3 linked regions of the Drosophila melanogaster genome follow. Changing the gene in region 1 together with any one later gene gives a genetic interaction. Each region holds a gene or a part of one and is shown on either strand. Other genes may lie near its edges.

The links.
Region 2: of asl (region 1) and Cep97, changing one suppresses a phenotype caused by changing the other (phenotypic suppression), as found in Drosophila melanogaster (one study listed by BioGRID).
Region 3: of asl (region 1) and asp, changing one enhances a phenotype caused by changing the other (phenotypic enhancement), as found in Drosophila melanogaster (one study listed by BioGRID).

The regions. Positions count from the first base shown.
Region 1 is NT_033777.3:5,602,736-5,608,404, forward strand, and holds asl (asterless), read right to left. Parts: upstream 3,809-5,669; 5' UTR 3,712-3,808; coding exon 3,595-3,711; intron 3,539-3,594; coding exon 1,706-3,538; intron 1,641-1,705; coding exon 606-1,640; 3' UTR 501-605; downstream 1-500. Other genes in the region: SecS (Sec synthetase), read left to right, coding at 1-195, 255-430; Rga (regena), read right to left, coding at 4,638-4,857, 4,949-5,113, 5,218-5,422.
Region 2 is NT_033779.5:3,865,696-3,871,993, reverse strand, and holds Cep97 (centrosomal protein 97kDa), read right to left. Parts: upstream 4,298-6,298; 5' UTR 4,013-4,297; coding exon 4,006-4,012; intron 3,615-4,005; coding exon 3,454-3,614; intron 3,391-3,453; coding exon 2,933-3,390; intron 2,877-2,932; coding exon 2,518-2,876; intron 2,452-2,517; coding exon 2,191-2,451; intron 2,122-2,190; coding exon 1,945-2,121; intron 1,905-1,944; exon of another isoform or gene 1,870-1,904; coding exon 1,440-1,869; intron 1,373-1,439; coding exon 805-1,372; 3' UTR 569-804; downstream 1-568. Other genes in the region: CG31957 (uncharacterized protein), read left to right, coding at 125-441; TTLL4B (tubulin tyrosine ligase-like 4B), read right to left, coding at 4,770-4,925, 5,008-6,016, 6,077-6,247.
Region 3 is NT_033777.3:24,752,105-24,759,876, reverse strand, and holds the start of asp (abnormal spindle), read right to left. Parts: upstream 6,029-7,772; 5' UTR 5,837-6,028; coding exon 5,822-5,836; intron 5,750-5,821; coding exon 5,573-5,749; intron 5,521-5,572; coding exon 5,308-5,520; intron 5,229-5,307; coding exon 347-5,228; intron 287-346; coding exon 1-286. Other genes in the region: tld (tolloid), read right to left, coding at 6,457-7,403, 7,460-7,772. UniProt on the Drosophila melanogaster protein: Required to maintain the structure of the centrosomal microtubule organizing center (MTOC) during mitosis. May have a preferential role in regulating neurogenesis. Required for germ cell mitosis and oocyte differentiation.

The sequences.
Region 1 (5,669 bases):
CAGAGCCACGCGGAGAGATTGTTATAGACAGCAGGTTTAACTCCATATCCTTGGCCATAACATTGGCCACTTTGGCTGGGGATCAGATGAAGAGCATCACCAAGCTTGGCTCCATGCTACACATGCGTGGAGTTTCCGGAGCAAGAGTGATAGTTCCTGGCCAAAATAAAACTATAGACGGGCATGAGTTTCTAGGCAAGTAATATTCACTATCGTCTTTGTTTTCCGACTAAAATTTAGAATATTTCGCTTAGATTTCGGCTCCCACCGCAGCAACCTGCAAGTTCCGTACCTGACTGTAGCGGCAGGAATTGGAATAACCCGAGAGGAGATTGACAAATTCTTCGACATTTTCAACAAGTGCTGGAACCAGATTTTTCAAACTAAAAATGAAAAAATTATGAGCCTACTAGAAACAACAATCAAATAAAAAACCTATTTTTTAATATTAATGATAAACTTTCACTTTTTTAGCTGATTTTTATAAGCACAATTTTGTTAGGAATGTACAGCGACTTTTATTTGTTTAGACAATTTGGCAGTGCATGCAGTAACGATATCCCACTAAAGAGACCTACATATACATATATATATTTTCCTAAGTCTTAGCTGTGACCATTGCCTTTGGGCTTTCTATTTGAGTTGGTGATTGGGTCGCTGCTGCTATTGCTGGGCACGTTCTCTTTGTCGCGGTGCTTCTCCCGACTCCGCCGCTCCAGGTGCTGGTTCATGGTCGCCTCGATCTTGGCGAGTGATAGCTCGTACTCGTGCTTAATGCGCTCATACTCGCGTTTCATGTGCGCCTCCTTGTCCTCGGCATACAACTTGTAATTGTGGGCGGTACGCTTGGCACTTTGATATCGCTGCTGTGCGGATCGCATCGCCTCTTCGTGGGTGGAACGCAAGCTTTCCAGCTGCTGGCGCCAGTGGTGTTCCACCTGGTCGACTGACTGGCGCTGTTTCTCCCACTGAGCCATCACAGCCTTCATAGATTGCCTTTCGGAGTCGATGCTGGCGTGCTGCTCCTCCACTTCTCGGAGCAGTTCGGCAATTCGCTGGTTCTTCGCTTGCAGCTCCTGGCGGCACTTCTGCAGCATTTCCTTTTGCTTTTCTTCCCTGCCGGCCAGAATTTCATCGATATTCTCGCGTTCTGCCAGGATAGTTTGCTTTAGAAGATCCACCTCCGTTTGCCGCTGTTGCAGCTCTGCACACACCGTTTGGTATTCCCTTTGGAGGCACTGGCTCCTCTCCTCAGATTTTTGCAGCCGGTTAGTAAACCTCTTGAGTTCTGCTGCAAAAAGTTTGGCCATCTCATCACGAACACGTTGTTCGATCAACCTTATCCGATTCTGGGTGAGCTCTTTGGGCGATGGATCAGACGGGGAAACTGAGTTTGATTTCGGACTGGGCGTACACTTATTCTGCTGCTTATGCTCCTCTTGCTGCCTAATGTACGCCTCGAATTGCTTGGCCCTCTCCTTAAGATCGCTAATGAGCTCGTCCTGCTTGTTTGAAAGCTCGATCTTTTCCTGCATCTCGGCTTGCAAATTTTTAGACTGCTCCAGCGCGTGTTCCAATTCTTTCAGTTCCTTGGCCTGCATTGAGTTCACATTCTGGAGTTTCAACAACTGAATTTCCGCCTAAAAACCGTGGTGATATATAAGATTATTTAGTTTACTAGCATGTCTGAAAGGTTATCGCTTACCTTGGTAATTTCTGCTATGCTTTCAATGCACTTGCTGCAGTTTTCGGAACTTTCTTTGGCCACCGCAACTGCTTCTTCGCGCTTTTCCCGCTCGCTCCTTTGGCGCAAGGCCTGCAGATCACGTTCGTGGCTGAGTTTCTCCGTTTCCAGAAGCTTTTTTAGCTCCTCTGATTTCATCTCCGCCAGCTGCAAGTTTCGCTGAACAGTGGCCAAGTTTTGGCGTTGATCCTGCAACTCCTTAAGCGTGTCCGATTCTCTCAGCTTTCTCAATTCATAGCCTAATGACTCTTTGTCTGTGGCGATGTCAGAATAGAGTTTCTTAAGCCGCTCGACCTCGCTCTGGGAATCCCTCAACAGAATCTTGTGGCGTTCCAGCTCCAAGCGCAGGTTGTCTGCAGTTTCTCGAGTTCGCAACTGCCGATTTTCCTGCGAAAGCTGATCGTAATTTCTTTGAAGGCTCTCGTTCTGCTGCTTTAGTTGCTCCAGATCTTCTTCAATCTGCTGCCGTTTTTCCCTTAGTGCATCCCTCTCGGCCACAATGGAATTCAGCTGTGAGTGCACATCTGACTCCTGCTGTGATCTGTGTTTTTGCTCTTCCAACTCCTGCTGCATTGCCTTCACTTTGTTTTCCAACCGCATTTTGCCTTCGTTTAGGGTTTCCAGCTGAACCAGGGATTGGTTCTCCTGGTCGCGCAGCACGCGCAGTTCCTGGTTGCGTTCCTCCAGGAGCTTCTCTAGGCGTCGCACTTCTTCCCGCTTGTTCTTCAGGTTGCCCAGAGCTCGATACAACTCCTGCTTAATGTGACCGACTCTGTCTAGAGGATTCAGCGGTGTGCTACCAACAAGGCGCGATCCACCCATTTGACTTAGCCGACTAGTAGGCGATTCGTCCGCCTGATGCTGTTGAATAACCGAATCTATCAGGTCAAGTTCCGTGGTGGTTTCGTTTAGGCGCTCATGGAGCGAAGCGACTGTTTGCTCCAAATAGGCAATGCGGGCTTTCAAGTCAACGATGCACTGTTGCTGCCGACGATTTTCAGCCTGCAAATCGGGTCTTGCACTTAGTTGGTTGCAGCGCATTTGGGCCTCATCCAAAGCTTGACTGAGCTCGTTAATCTTGGCAGCCTTATCTACGAGCATTGTTTCGTGACCAGACTGCAGAGCATTGTAGCGCGAGTTTATCTGATCCAACTCATTTTGCTTGCGATCAAGCTGATCCTTCATCTGACAGAGTTGCTGCTGCAAAAGATCGGACTGGGCTCGGTGCGCTTCCTCCATTTGCTTTAAACGTAGGTCGGCGTTCCGCTCCTCCCACTTCTGCTTACTGGCCTGCACCATGTCGTATTTGCTTTGGACGTCCGTAAGCAAGGTCTTGGCGGCCTCTAATTGACCAACTAATCGCGTGTTATCTTCTTCCAACTGCTTCTTTTCCGACCGCAGCTTGTCCAGATCGCTGTCCTTATTGGAGCACGTCTCTTTGGTCTCCACCAACAGCTCGTGAGTGTTCTGCTTCTCGCGAATGGCGCGGTCTAGCTCAGCCTGCATGATGGATAGGTGCTTTTGTAAGTCATCCAGTTTTTTGTGCGCAGCGTTGGCCACCTGGTTGACATTCTGCAGCTCATTATTCTTAGACTCCAGCAGGATCTGGAGGCGATGCATCTCGATCTCGTTGGCTCGCTGAGCATCGTCCTGCAGCGGTTTATGGTGCGGATGTGATGGGTAGTTGGGTAGAACTGGCGGCTGTTCCAGTTCCGACTGGTAATTCGTCGTCGAGTCGATTGTGTTCTCTTCATCGAGCAGATCGTCGAAGGCATTCACCATAATCCGTCCAAGCTTGCGTAGAATTGGAATCGGTGACATTGTTTACCAGGAATTCCCAGATCGCTTACCTCTTCCTCGCGTCGTTTCTGATCCTGCAGCGCCTCTTCCTCCTCCTGCCGGTCCAGTGTAGAATTTATGTTAAGGGCATCCGCCCCCTGAAAGAGGCTTATACCTGGCGTGTTCATATTCGGCTAAGGGGACGCCACAAGCATCAAATTCAAATAAATTCCGAGGCGCAGGCGCTATTTTCGTAGGCAACTCTAATTTTCTTCCTCTTGCTTCTGTTGACACTTTGACATTAACATAGTAACGCGTGCTGTTAAGTGCAGTAAGCGCTTCTGTAGCGAAAACATTGCGTTCACACTACATACAGTCTAGAAGGGAATTAGGTTTTTATTCTATACTTGTACATAAACTGTAATTGTTAAATTTAAAAATAAATATTTTCCCAAAAAGTTGCCGATATGTCGAAAAGATTGTGGCCCCGACAATAGACCTGCCAGGCATACACAAGCTTGAAGATGATATTGTATGTATGTATTATCATGCCAACTATGGTTCCGTCGTATCATTGATAGGGGGAGCTGTTGTGCATTGCAGAATGCAGTAGATTTGCTATTGGAATATACATACATATGTATGTCGTGTTAGTCCAGATGACAGGTATGTATTTTCAGACACGGCCAGTAATTTTTTATAGGATCACTTTATAGAAAGAATTTCTTCTACCTTTCAAATACATTTCAACGAATCGAAAAAATATAACTTGCTTTTTAATTTAATGGGAGTCCGCTCATTTCATAATATCGAACAGCTAAAAAATGTTACATTTCAAAGATATTCTAAAAATATGAATACCAACTAGACTCCAGCAGGATAAAAATAAATCGCTTTAAATTGTTAACCGGCAATTTGTACCAGAATTTGCACATACATACATATGCATATATGTATGTATATATATCCTAACACCGTTTTAGAAGAAAAACTCAAATGGATTGTTTTTAATTTTTATAATAAAACTTATTATTCAGTTAGTGTTGAGTGTCCTTGTTGCAATGCAAAAACAACAGCATACTTTCTTTTTCAATTTTTTTCATTTTTATTAATTTTATACAGACTGTCCATTCATAAACGCACTTATATTGGGACATTTATCTAATTTCTCGGGATCTATTTGGAAAACCTTGGACAAACGTTTCCAACTTTGCGCATCAAAGTAGTAGAAGGTGCCGCGCTCTTTTGTACCATTTTTTTCATATTGATCAATGCCAGGAATTCGAGTTATCCATATTTTCTCCTCCACGTGGTATCGCCACTCGCGACTATGCCTGCGATGGGAGCAGAATTTTAGTATATATGTATGTTCTATATATGTTCATACGAAGCTTAGATAATAGCTACGCAAGAGGAAGTACTCACAATTCAGCAGCTGCCATCAATTGCATCATATCGCCGATGTTCGTGTAAAAAAGGAAAAAGAGCAGGTCTTCTTGCAGCTTTTTCAGTACCGGCGCTGTTAGTTTGTCTCTTATCGCAAAGTTAATCAGATATTCGGGTGGCACGTTGAACTCAACGTCTTGTGCTCTGAAAAAAGTAAATGCAAATCCAATGTTACTAATTTGGTACACCTCTTACTCAATAGTACTCAATAAGCAATTAAATTATGTAAGTTTATTATGTAAACTGACCTGCAGGGCTGTGCTACGAAGGGGCCAGCGAAGGTTGTATGCAAGCTCTCCTGCGAGTTCAGGTTCAGGCCTAAACCCGTGAGATCCGTACCCAAGGAGAGCGTCACCAGATTGGGATCCGTTTCTGCAGCCCGAATGAACGTCAGCAGGCCAACCATGCCGAACTGGTTGTTCACCATGGTCGCTGGTATGTTTGTGACCTTCCCTATTTATGCAAAACGAACGAAAGGTAAATTTGTTACATTTTTAAATAAATAAAATATTTCATGGTACTATTATTTCTGGATAAAATGGGTCAAGGATAGTATAGCTGTTGGGCTTTTGTGATGTACACCGAAATCACCGAATTATAATATGAAACAAATAATAATAGAAACCAAGAAATCCATTGATTAAATGGTATCAATCATCCATAGAGTGTTCAATTCAAAGCTCCAAATGATCAAAAGGTC
Region 2 (6,298 bases), on another chromosome or scaffold:
CGTTCGTCCGTATATCTTCGTCCGTCCGTCTGAACGTCTCGATAAAGACATGTTGAGATAGCCCATCCCAACTCATTTCATGTTGATACTTAATAATGAATTTGTATCCTTCTGACCCTTTTAGTTTCGATGCCCAACAAATTCCGCAAGAGCATGTGGGTGAAACGTGGCGACTTTCTGCTGGTCGAACCGATTGAGGAGGGCGATAAAGTCAAAGCCGAGATTTGCAAAATACTCACACCCGAACATATAAAGGAATACACAAAAGCTGCAATTTGGCCGGATAAATTCACAAAGAAACCTGTACAGGAGGAAGCCACCAGCCAAAACAAAGACGACTCCGATTTCGAGGATGATCTCCTGCCCAATACAAATCGGCCTGTAAATCGCGATTCCTCCGACGAAGAGGAAGATGAGGAAACATCCAGCGAAGAGGACTGAACGATGTACAAACACACACATAGTTAGGTTATTTACAAATTTGTCAAACTTAATTAAAAAAAAACTGTTGGTTAATGCTGGTGTTGTTTTTGAACAAAATCTGCCCGCAATCAAGAACACCTTTTGTGCTTTACAAAAATTTGTATTTACGATTTGTTCATACTATTGTTAAGTCTTCCACCATCGCTGCATCTCAGGAATGTAACAAAGTAATGTGTTTGTGAATGCTGGTGCTACTTCTAAGTTCTCGTAACCGATCTAATATTGTTGCAAAAGCTACACAAAAGCCTAAGAAAGGAATTAATAAGCGCTGAGATCGACCCTTAAAGCGTTTATACTCCTCATTTATTAACTGGGATTTGTTCATGGATCTTTATCAAGATTTTCCGAGTCTTCTTGGGTCTCCTTCAGGTCGACATCATTCAATTCATCGATTTTGGGACAAGCCAGAGCAGCTTCGTGCTTGGATTCTAGGGCCAAGGTTGAGGGCCTTGTTTTGGTGAATGGAAAATTGGTGAGGTCCTCTATTTGCGGCGTGTGTACGGCAATGAGGTCCGTCTGAGTGGAGCTGCAATCAATGATCTCGGCCTGCTTCTTAATAGCGTCCTGCGGCAGATTGCACACCATTGTGAGGCAGTTGACGATGGTTCCAATCGAGCTTTGCAGCATTTGAACCTGATCGGTGAGCATGGTGCATCTTTTCGCCAAATCATTTACCACGGCGGCTGAATTTTGATCGAGACTCAGGTGGCCAGACCCTCCGCCATTGGAGTCCTCGCCCTGTTCCGCAGCAGCAGGTATTCCCTTGGGATCCACCTCCATGGTGGACACCTTTTTCCACAGCGCATTGATGGCCTGCATCTGCAGCTGCTGAATCTTTCGCTCGTTCTCGAGCTGGGCCTTCGTAAGTAGCATATCCTTGCCGAGTTGTCTGAGGAATGCGACAGATAGAGCATTAGAAAGTTGCGATATATGTTGCCTAAAACGAGACCACCTACTCGATATACTCCTGTGTGCGTCGTCGCTGCAATCGCTCGGCTATGTCCTTGTTGGTCTTCTTGCGTGTGTGATAGCCTCGCCACATCTTTTGGATGGTAACGGCCGAGGACTCTGTCACGTGCTCGATCAGCCGATCCTGGCAGTTCAGGTTGTTGTCCACCTGCTGCTTCAGCTGCTCCTGATGCATCTGCTGTTGCTTCTGAGCGGCCATCTTCCGGATTGCTCTCAGTTTCTCTATGTTGATTTGCTCGCCGTCGTCGTCGGTGCTGAAGCCACCGCTATCGGCCAAAACAGCCGATTGCTGGAGTTTCTCCGGTGCCTGCATGTTGTCCGCGCTGCACTTATTGGCCATCCTCCGTGGACTGCTCGTAGGGCTTTGGTTCCTCTTCAGTTGTGGACTTCGCACTCTTGGCAAGTTCAGTTTGTTGTCTGTAGTGTAAATGTGTATGTATGTTTTAGAAATCTGTGTCGTTTTAAAAGTCTAGAGTAACAACTACTGGCTACCTTTATTTTTGTTGATCTTGGTCTTGTGCAGCTGAGGGTTCAGTGCCGTAACCGTAACTCTTTGGGCCACAGCGGCGGGACAGACATCCGGGCTCATCAGAGTCTCCGGAACTGGGACCATTTTCGAGGCAGCCGCCAATGGACCACCAGATGGGGTTTGACTGATGAACGTTTGATCTGTGGAATTGTTGTTTACTATTAACATCATTTTCCACTCTTGCATTGAATATATTTTAATTGTCATACCATTGTAGGGATTGGGTGTTATATTCCGTGGCGTGGACTCCGTGGAATTGTATGTCTTGGTGGTCACGCTGCTGGACATTCCGCTGCCGGCCAAACTAAAGCCTTCGCCATCGTTTTTAATGTTCTCAATGAGCGAAATGCTCATTTGCAGCGAATGATTCGTAGATCCATTGTCGCTAACAATGCTATTGTTGCTGCTGTTCCCGTGATAGCTATTCACCATGGACTCCGGTGATCCCTGGCGGCCACTCAAGCGGGAGACTTTAAATCGAAGACAGAAAAATATAAGTTATATGAAAAAGCATAGATAGGGAGTTAATAACTTACATCTGGGCGACTGAATGCGACTCGTGGGCTTCTTGCGATGGGATGAGGGCGAAGTGCTGGCAGAACTATTTGCGTTATCCATGATCTCTTCCTGCAGCTGCCGCTGATGGTGTTGCGCCTTGCTGAGGATCAGCCGGAGTTTCCTATCGTTTTCATTTTCCAGCGCCTTGCCCACCAGCGGGCACACAGAACTTAGGTATTTTGCCAAGCCCTGCTGCTCGCCCACACGGAACTGGCGACCACGTCCCTGGCTATACAGCCATTCGGCCTTAAGACTCTCAATAGGATCGACCACAAAGCCATCGATGTACTTGAGGCTCATGCACCAGTTTAAAACAAAAGGTCGGTAATCAAAGCCACTGCAAGAGATGTTACATTTTAAGCGCAATCCATATGATCCATTAAGCTAACTCACTCCAAACTGTTGATCATGGTCACACAGGGATTATCCGCAATGGAAATGCTCAGCAAGTTGCTCAGATGCGACAGCGTACAGATCTCGTTGAGATCGTTGATGCTATTCTTGGCCAACGTTAGGGTTTCCAGTGAGGTGGGCAAACACTTGTCGCACTGCCTCAGATGCGTCAAGCGATTTCCGTGCAAATATAGCTCCTTGAGATTGCGCAAATAGGACATATCCGAAATGCTGCCAATGCTATTATCCGCCAGATTCAGGCACTCCAGATTGACATTCGTGTTCAGATGCTCGATGGTCTTGATGTTATTCCCCTCCAGATTCAGAACGCGCAGATGGATGCATTCCTTCAGGCCCTCGATAGAGAGTATGCCATTGAAGGACAGATTCAGTTCACGCAGGCAATGCAGCCGGCAGACGCCATACATGCGCAGCAATTGATTTCTGGCCAAGGAGAGCTGAAATATTTGAATTTCTGTTAATTAGGAACTTGTTTCTTTTCGCAGAACGTTGCAAGTCACCGTTTCAATTTTGAGATACGAGTCTATGTTGTCGATCTTCTGCAGCTCGTTCTCGTCCAGGATGAGCTGCCGTATGCTGTGCGCATCGTCCTGCTTGGGCACCTTCTTCAGCTTTTGCTTGGACAAGTTCAGGACGTGCTTCTCCTCGCCACTTTCGTCGCCTGTTTGGGTTAACAAAGCACAGTGGGTAGAAACTAAGGTTTACCACTTCATACTTATTATGCATTAAACACAATATCAGAATTATGTAAAACAAAAAGCCCAAAAAGGAAATACATAATGCAAGCTTCACTGTATACGTGTGCATGTTACAAAATTGATGACTTCATCGAGGGGTCCGCACTTTTCAAGAAGTTGGAGAGGAGGTCAGGGCGCAGGTGCGTCCTTTTTAGCCAGGACCTCGAAGCCCCCGGCCCGCTGAACATTAACCCCAACTCCCCAAAAGCAGACTGCAAATTCCCATACAGTCAGCACGCAAATCCCAATCCCCGCAAATCATATTATTAGTTACTAATATATAGTGCCCATTCTTGCATAGAACTGGCTTCTTACCACTCATTTTTCTGATTGGCAGGCCGAAATTCCAACGCTGCGGTCAATTTTTTTTTAATCAGCAGATACTTAGCGAAAAATCAATGGGCCACTCTTTTTTCCACGCAGTTTCAGATTGGCAATTTCCCAAGTGTGCAGCTCAGCTGTTCCACTTGCAGTCCTTTGGTTTCAAGCCGGGTTTATAATTCAGTCCACGCCATGATTTGCAAACTTAATTTTTATTTTAGCGCCGTGCAATACAGTGAATTTTTGTTTATTGTTATTATACTACGTCTATCGATAATTGGAGGCGTGATGTCGTTATCGGCAGCTTGAAAACTCAAGACTGCGCCGCTAGTTATCGATTGCACTTCCTTAGACTTATCGCAACTGCCAAAGCCCGCGTAGTTCAAAAAGCTTAGTACTGTGCTGAGCAATTACCCAATAAGAAAACCGATACTCTTTACAGTTTACAGTGTTCGCATAAAGAATAAATAATAAGAACTAAATTTAAATAAAATATTTATTTTCATAATTTTTTTAAACACCCCGTAGTGTTTTATATTTACTGAAATGACGTGTGATCCAATTTCTAGCTGGATGCCAAAACAGGCTATTGCCACCAAAGACGATCGAAGTTAAGTGAATTTACTGAGCGGATACAATTCCGGAGCACATCTGCACGGGATGCTGGCACAGCTGTGAGCTGGTAACGGAAACGGGAATGGAAATGGCAATGGCAATGGAAGAAGCAATGGTGATAGTGCTGATAGTTCGGTTCAATTTCAGGACTTGATCTCGATGCAGGCATCCGGAATCGGCGCCACCTCGCAGCCCTCCTGGACAACGGGCTTAAGTATGGCCAGCGTGGTGGCACCGTCCAAGACCTCATCCTTTCGCACGTGCAGCATATCGATCTCGGTAAGTGCAACATTTGGTTCCTAGATAAGAAATATGACTTGAAAATGGACTACAGAAGCGGTACGGAAGGGGAAATTCAATTGAATTGAATTGATCGTTCACCTTTTCCATGGCGGCGTCCGACACCTGTAAATGGTATTTGTCCCGGCAATAGCGCGACAGCAAGGCAATGCCCATTTCCCTATTCTTGGCGTACTTCGTCTCCCAGGCGTCCAGCAGGCGATTATAGTACCGGGCATTCTCGACATAGCGCAGATATACATGTGTGCCGGCGGTGGGGAAGATCCGTTCCAGCGGCTGACACCTGGCCAGCTCGTCCTCGGCAACGATCAGGCAACGGACATCGTCCGGCAGTAGATTGTCCAGTATGGTATCAACGTACTCCTCCCGGAATTCGATGCTCCGATTGGTGTACTGGTTATGTTTGCGGACCTCCTCTGCAGTCAGGCAGGTGGTGAAGATGCGTTTGTCATGGCACAACGGACCGGTCAGATTAAGCTCCTCCAGGATGTCCGCCTGCTGACGTTCGTTCAGCTTAGGCGGCACCTGATATAGAGCCGTATTCAGCACGGCCTGAATGAGCGGACCCTTCACGTGCAGATCCAGTGGCAATTCCGAATGCAACGACGGCGATATATTTATCTCCAACAGCCAGGGCACTAGATTCTCATCCAGGAGCACATCGAAGCCAAACAACTCGAAGCAATTGTAGCGAAAGTTCACATTCTGGCGGTACATGCGATTCAATCCCGATTCCCCGCTCACGATGCCCTTGATGACCAGATTCCGTAGCGTGGCCCACAGGCGCTTAGTGTTCACGCCACGATTCTCCAGGCAGGACCACAGCGATTGAAGCGTCCACTTGTGGCCCTGGCAGGCATTGAAATCCTCGTTCTTCGCATAGTTCTGCGAGAACTTGTTGATGCTGTAGTTGGTCAGGTGCATGCAGCGCTCGTCCAGATTGCTCAGCTCCGAGCTGTACTTAACGGACGCGAAACGCGCCAGTCCATCCTTGTACATATAGATGCGGAGTGGGTTGATCGAGGTCAGTACCACATACAGACGCATATCGAACTTATTGTCGTTGATCAACAGCGGACGTTCAATGTATCTGAAGTGGGGTTTAGGGTTAGGGAAGATTTTTAAAGAAGACGAAGTTATGGGCACCCACTTCTGAACCACCAGAGGACGATCTTTGGGAAATTGGCTCCACTTGTTCACAATGCGTATGCCCGTGCCTCGGGCACTCGCCGGCGGCTTAACAATCCACTTGGTCAGCTTCGAGGCATTTTTGGGCCACACCTGACGCAGGCTCTCCAGATCGTCTGGCATAATGTAGGATCTGTTAAAGAAGATATCGAGTAAAATAATAGAAATTCAAAGTTATATTTTC
Region 3 (7,772 bases), about 19 Mb from region 1:
CAGTGGGCGAATACCCAAATGAGGGTGCACAAAGTGTTGAATATCTCACTGTCTTTGTCGCACCAGCGCAATAACATCTGGGCAATGGTGACCAAACCGCCCTCCTGGAACGTGTTCACCGTGGTGCTATTGTAGCGGGCCAAATTTAGGATGATCCGGCTGCAGCGCTCTATAAGCTGCTTATCCACCTCTGATCGAATGGCCTGAGCCATGATGCCATAGCAAAACGTGGACATGAACTCCGAACACCACATGAGCAGGTGTGGCACAGTGCGCGAAAGACGATCTGCCGGGATTATTAAGCAGGATTAGTTATAATAAGGACTAACGTAGCTGGATCACTTACCCAATCGACTTAGCACTGCTAACGCATCTGATGCGATAAAGCGTCCGCGAAGGAAACGCACCGCCTCCTGGACTTTGCAGCGCACAGAGTTTACCGCCTTTGCCTCTTGCCGCAGCTGAGCAATACGCTTCCGGATATCCAAGAGACCCTGGTGCTTCTGACGTCGTCGGATTAGATAGCCCCGCCAGTAACGCTGTATAACCTTGGCGGCGCGCTTCTGGCGGATGAGGTCCATCATCTCGGGTGTCATCAGGGCCTGGAATCGTTTGCGAGCCATAAAGCCGCGGGCACGTGCCTGGAAGCCCGGCATGGAACAGCGGAGCAGTTGGAAACAATTACGCTGCTCAATCATTAGACGCTTGCCACGGAACTTTTGTTGCAAATGGACTGCAATAGTACGCAGCTGGACAAATTCCTGGCGTGCCTGCTTCATGCTGCGATTAGCACGGAATTTGCGCTGCACCAGGATCACAGAGGATTGGATTAATTGGTAATCCTGTCTCGCCTTTAGCATAGCACAGCGAGCACGAAACCGGCGCTGGATCACTACGGCAGCCCTTCGCTTCATCTCGAATTCCCTGCGCTGCTGACGCATCAGTAAAGTTGCTCTGATAAATGCCTGCATAAGTCGCACTTTGCGGATGGTGCTTAAGAAGATCTCCCGTTGGCGACGAGCCTGCACTGTGGCCCGCCACTTGCGTTGAATGCTCAATGAACTGAGTCGAATCCTTCGGTAGCCCGCTTTGCACAGCCGCATGTCGCGTATACTGCGCCACCATTTCTGCAAGCGGATGACTGCCTGGCGCTGTTTTTGGTAGACTTCAATCTGCTTCCTCATCTCCAGATTGCCGCGGTATCGTCGTTGCACTTTGATAATGGCTTCCCTTTGCTTTTGGTACAAGACCACCTGCTTTTGCATTGCCTTCTTGGCTCTATATCGGGTTTGAATGGTAATAGCTGCCTGTTTCAGCTGGGCGTAACTCTTCAACTGCTTGATCATATTCAGACGAGCTCGGTACCGTCGCTGCAGTGTTATTGCTGCTTGACGCAGTTGTAAGAAACTGTTCCTCTCCCGTTTCCTAAGGAGATGATTACGCCAATGCATCTGCAGGCAGCTCACAGCAGCCTGGGTGCCGCGGTACTTGGCTCGCATGAACCGCATTGATTTTTGAGCATGGAATCTGCGCTGCAGCTTTATGGTAACCTCGCGCAGATGTAGGTACTCCTGGCGCTCCTTTCGCATCTGCAGCAAAGCCCGCCGACGTTTCTGGACTACAAGGGTAACCTTTTTCAGCTGAAGAAACTCGGCTCTTTGCTTTTTCATTTCGCGCTTGGCACGGAACTTGATTTGAATTCGTTTGGTTGTCGTTTGGAGATGAAGGTAGTTCTTCCTTTCTCGACGCATCTGCAGAGTGGCTCTCCAGCGCCTCTGGACATTGATGATACATTTGCGGGTTCTTAAATATGCATTTCTATCCTGGATCATTTGTTGACGCATGCGGTAGCGTTTTTGAACTAGTATTGAAGCATTTCGCAGCCTCAGATAATTTTCCCTCTGTTCGCGCATTTTCATGATGGCCCTCAGTCGCTGTTGCAGGCAGATAACATTTTTTCGCAGGGAATAGTAGTGATTACGATCTATTCTCATCTGGATTGTGGCTTTCCTGTAAGCCTGAACTTTAAGAACGCTGGAACGAAGTGCCAAATAATCAGCGTTGCACTTTCTCATTGAAAGCTTCGCTCGCCAGCGTTGTTGGATATTTATAGCTGCACGCTTTAGTTGCTGGAACTCCTTGCGCTGCTCCAGCATACTCCACTTGCTTCGCATCCTGCGCTGAACAAACATGATGAGGTCCCTCTGGCGCAGGAACTGCTGTCGCTGAATTCTGCCCAGCTGATAGCTTCGCCATTGCATTTGAATATAACTAGCAGCTGCCTGTTGTTTTTGCGATCGCTGAAGTCTGGCTGTTTCCGCCGCCGCCAATAGTTTTTTGGCAAAGAGTCGTCGCCGCCAGATCCGCTGAAGAAAGATCGCAGCCTCTCGGAGCTCCACAAACCGCTGGCGGTGCTGCCTTCCCAGTTGTTGGGCTCGCCACCAGCGCTGGATGGTGATAATACTGTGATAGCTCTGATATAGCTGCTTCTGGGCCAAATACCGACGGGTGAACTTTTGCAGAATTATTGCGGCCTGAGTGCGTTCCGTCTTAAACAACTTCACGTACTTTCTCATCTGGTGGCCACGGAACACGGCCTGAATGACAGTAGCGGCCCGGTGGCGACGCATAAGCTCTTTGTGGCGAATGCGACGCTGGATAACAACGTGCAGCCAGTGACGGCGCCACCATTTCTGGAGCACCGTGGCCGCCGCATGAAACTTGGGCGAGCGGAATTTGTAAATAAGTTGCCAGAGCAGGGAAAGCGTCTTCTCACGATGTCCGTCAACGATGTCTTGGGCGGCGATGTCGCCGCCTAGCTGGAAGTTGGCTTCACCAAGTGCGCCCAGAGCTAGCTTTACATTGAAGATCCGCTGAAGGCGAGAGATGGCTGGCACCCTTAACTGGCGGGTTAGATCATCGCGTAGTAAAATTACCTCCATGACTCGGGTTAGTCTCACGCCATCTCTTAGGTCCACAGCCAAGTTGTTGAAGGCATAATCGAACTCGTCCAAAAATGTTTGGCGGTGCTGTAGAACGTAGCCCAGGCGACGAAGTTCCCGCGTAATATCACCAATGTTGGCGAGCAGCTCCGACGAGAAGCGCAGCAGAATATCCTTGGTCTCTTTATGTGGCGACTTTTTAACAAACAAACAGGGATTGTGCTTGACGATGCGCTTCTGCTTAGCTTGATCGAGGAAAAGCAGCAAAAAGAGGATTTTCTGCAATGAGTGCTTCTTAATGGTCTCCGCGTACTCTTCGGTGAGTGTGTATGCCTTGCTGTACCTCTGCTCCTCACACTTATTCCGGAACAAGCGATTGAGGATAAAGGTGCTGAGGCCTACAATGTCTCGATTAGACTGCATCTGGATCTTCTCGCCAAAGACCACTTCCAGTCCAAGGCGCAGCCAAAGGGGATTGAAGCAAAGCAGCAGCTCAAGTATGGTGCGTTGCATAACTACGTCTAGGTGAAGATTACGATCGCTACGGATGCGCAGAGCTTGCTTGTTGACATATACGGCCACTTTGGAGCATGGCAGGCGCATCTGCTCACTGAAGAAGAGCTCCACAGCCGCCTTACGAAGCGTCTCCAGGCGGTATTTCGTTAGGTAGTTCATAGACTGCTCCTCCTTGGTGGGAGCCACCACGAGCTCTTTGTTGCGCACCTCGTTAAACAGCTTACCAACGTCTATTTTGTTATTTAAATCTGCGTCCAGGTCAGCGGGTATGGAGACAAGGGCATTTAACCACTTTTTAAAGTCAGCTTGATGACGATCCACAGCCTGTTCATCCAAATACATGGTAGATGCCAGAAATGGATCAATTGTCGTAGTTGCTGCAAATGGATCCGGGTTGATGCACGTCTGCATATACAGCTCCGAGTCATAGAGCTTGACGGAAGGCTGAATGCTAGTGTCCCTGACTTTTCGTGGTGTGGCGGGCTTCTTCATCAGTGACATGGTTTGTGCTAGCTTAAACTTCTTGGATTGGGCGTGTGGCCAGGCGTGGGCACTACTGCTTCTTGCAGATGCATTTGCCGGCGCTGCACTTCTGGGCAGAGTAGTGTCCTCAACCCGTTGCTTTTTAGGAGGGGAAATGGCTACAGTTTCATTGCGGTACAATGATTCGTTGCTAGGTGCATCCGAAAAACTCAACTCATGAGAGCGGCGCTTGTGAGGATTCTTCACCGGACTTCCCTTCACCGACTTCCGACCTACTTCATGGAGATTAAAACGACTGGACTGAGCGAGGATCTCACTGTGGTTGAATAGAAACTCCTGCTGGCCGGCCAAACTAGCCTCGCTACTAGAGGAGCTATTCAAGTCTTTGGCCTTTATCTGGATCTGCTGCTCCTGGTAATATCTATTCTGTTCGATCGAGCGGATTTTCATTTCATTTAGATTAGGCATAGACCCTTGAATGGCATACTTAGTTTGTGGCGATAGAAGTGACAAATCTTTCATGGACTCGGAATACTTTCGTAAGGGTGAACCCACCAACTTAATGTCCCTCTTCAGGTCGTGTATGGCGCTCTTCGTGGGCGTCCTAGGTGGACTTGGTCCCTCCTCCTCATGAATACAGGCCAGAGCTCTGGTGTGCGTGGCATGCACAATGGTTGTTGTCTTATTTAGGGGCGTATGCGGTTGTCCATCGATCCTGGAGCAGTCCAAGGTGTCCAACGAAATATTGATAGTCTCGGAATGCTTTACATCGAACGTTTTGTTTGTGGCAGGCTGATCTTCTAGATCATCTGGAGTGATTCGACGCGGCCGCATATCATTAGCACATGATTTTACATTCCCTTTAAGTGTTGGTGTGGGCCAGGCTGCCAGATTGTCCGGGAAAATGGTAGCTTGTCCTTTGCCACGGGTTTCGGTGAGAGGTGTGAATCGCAGATTGTCAATCACGTCGAGTAGGTTTCCTGGCGTCATAGGGCTTAGATTTTCCTTAAGACTGCGAGGCTGTGGTGATATGTATACGGGCTCTTCTTGTGGAGTCTTGTATACATTCTTCTCGACAAGAGGAGCCTGTGGAGGTGGATGTGCCCATGCAGCGGGACGCGAAGGAGCAGTCACTCGCCATGTCTGCTTGGAGGGAGGCGCTGCTGCTGCAGACATGCGCTTCTTTTGCTGCACAGCAGCGGATACCACGCTTTTCATTGTCTTGCCAGCTCCTGTCGGCGATTTCAGCTGCAGGGTCTTGCCGACAGTAGGAAATTTGCGCGGGTTCTTCAGGTAGAAAGGTAAGAGATACATGCAAAAGAGGGTATGTAAGTAAAAGGGGTGGCAAATGCATTTTTTGACTGACCTTGACCGGCTGGTTGCTCTTGGACTTGAGTATGATCATCACCTCCTTTCGGAAGTTGCGGTTGTCTATTAGCTGCAGCGTCTCCTTGCAGGCCACCTCAAGGACGGGGCTCCACACTAGCTCCATGGATACCTCATCTCTTGCAGGCACCGTGTGCTCCATCCACTCCAGGCTTAAGTTGTGCTCCTCCCGGATGGCCTTCATTACCTTGACCTGTAAAACATTGATCAAATAACAGTTGCCAGGCCGTATGCAACCCACTAACCTCGATGTCGTCGTCGCTGGGATTGAGAACGCGCACCTGGCGCCGTGCTGTCTTTGTTATCGGCACATCCTCGAACTGCACAATCGCCTTGGCGGAGAACGGAGCCATGACGACGACGGCGGGCTCGCGTCCTTCGGCGCGCTTCTTTTGCTTTAGGCGCGATGGCGTCACTGTGATCTGTAAGTACCGGTAATCTAGTTATTTCTCGGAAAATTATTGCCGGAGTTCCAAAAAGAGGACTCAACTAACCTCAAAGGCGCTCATTGCAGGGAATGGCCAAAACAGAAATAACTTGAACTAAACAGAAACGGGCTCGCAGCTAACTTAGTGGTCCATTAACACAGCGACTAACTAATCAATTAACACAATTAACGAACAAAAATTAAACAAATTAGAGCGTCGCCGCACAAATCCAAATTCGAACTGAAATTCGAAACGAAGCGACGCCGATACTCGATTGCTTGATTGCTGGAGCAAAGGGCTATCGAACAATTCGACCTATCGATTGTGAAATGTTAGGGGTCTTCAGAATGGTTTTCGATAGACTTAAAAATATAAGGATTACATTTGTCCGCAATTTTTAAACATAAATTATTTAATATGATAAGATCATTCTAAGGAATATTATTTTGTGTAATTTTACATAAATTGTGAGTAACCCAGATGTGTTAACACCACCAATCGATATCCTCAGTGTGAACGTTGCACAGTTTTATAGCGCCAAATTCAAATGTGTATTATCACAGATATAAATATTATGTGCCTTTAAAAATAAAATATAGGGTAAACAAAATGACTCGAAATATCTTTTATTCACAATCTATTTACAAATTTCAACAACAAACATTAAACTCTAAATCCCTTCGCTGGACCTCTCATTTTATCTAAATGAGTCTGCTGGGTGGCAGGAGGTGGTCGCTGCCCGTTTCTGAGGAATACATGCTCTTGAGATAGCCCGGAAAGGGTGTAACCGCGTCGAAATCCTCGCCAACAGAATCTTCCGGTGGATCCACGGCCATGAAGGAGATGGCGAAGCCTCTCAATGAGTTACTCTCGTCCGTTTGGAATCGCAACAGAAGGGTGTCCGAGTTGGAGATTATGATTGGCGGCTTGTGCTTTCCGCAAAATCTGCCGTGGATAGTGTTCATTGAGTAGCCCTCCTCGGTGATCTCCAGATAATCGTAGTCGCATCGCTCCGAGTACTCGATCTCGAAGTGTAGGAAACGGATCTTGACACTGCTTTCCGGGTCTGCCTGAATGCGCCAATCGCAGTACATGTTCCGCTTGTACGGCCTACTGCCGTATCGTGGATGCGAGTAGAAGGTCTGTGAATGATTTGTGGCCCTCAAGTAGCCACCACATTCGGAGACAAAGGTGGCCTTGAAACCCTTTCTCTGAAGACCCGCATCCGTGGCCAGTACCATAAACATCTCATTGGTGGAGGCAATAACGGCATACGGTTCACGTCCACCGCAATAGATGCCCAATGTTGAGCTATTTTCGGAGCGACCATCATAGATAGCCACATAGTCGTAGATGCACTCCTGGTGGCTCTCCACCTCAAAGTCGTGGAATGTCAACTGTATCCGGTGGCCCAGTACGGTCTGAAAATGCCAGTAGCAGTAAATGTTTCTTGGATAATCCTCCGGATAGTTGGGACTCTGCAACACTCCATACGACGTGGTGATCTCGAACTTGCAACGCGTCTCCGTGCAGTTGTGTCCATTTTCAGCCAATGTGTATCCATTGCGGCAGCTGCACTGATAGGATCCAAAGGTGTTTCGGCATCGGTGCTGACAGCCACCATTGTTCATTGAACACTCATCCACATCTGTGGAATAATGATATTATAGATCGTACGTAAATTAATTTTTTTCTGTAAGTTACCTATTACAAACTTGGCCACAAATCCACTTCTCTGGACAGTGCGATCCGAGTAGAACTCCAGCCTGAGGATACTCTGCTCGGAATTCACCACTGGAGGTAGTTCATGACCACAATAAATGCCAATCTTCTTCAGGCGATTATCCCTCATTTTGGAGTATATAATCAGGTAATCATAGTTGCACTTGGTGTAGTGAAACCGTGTGCCCTCCAAATCAAAGTGGGAAAAGTTTAGGAACACCGCGTGATTCGGTGGCGCAACCACTTCCCAAACGCACTGCTTGGAGTTGGGATACACATCCGGATACGATGGTGA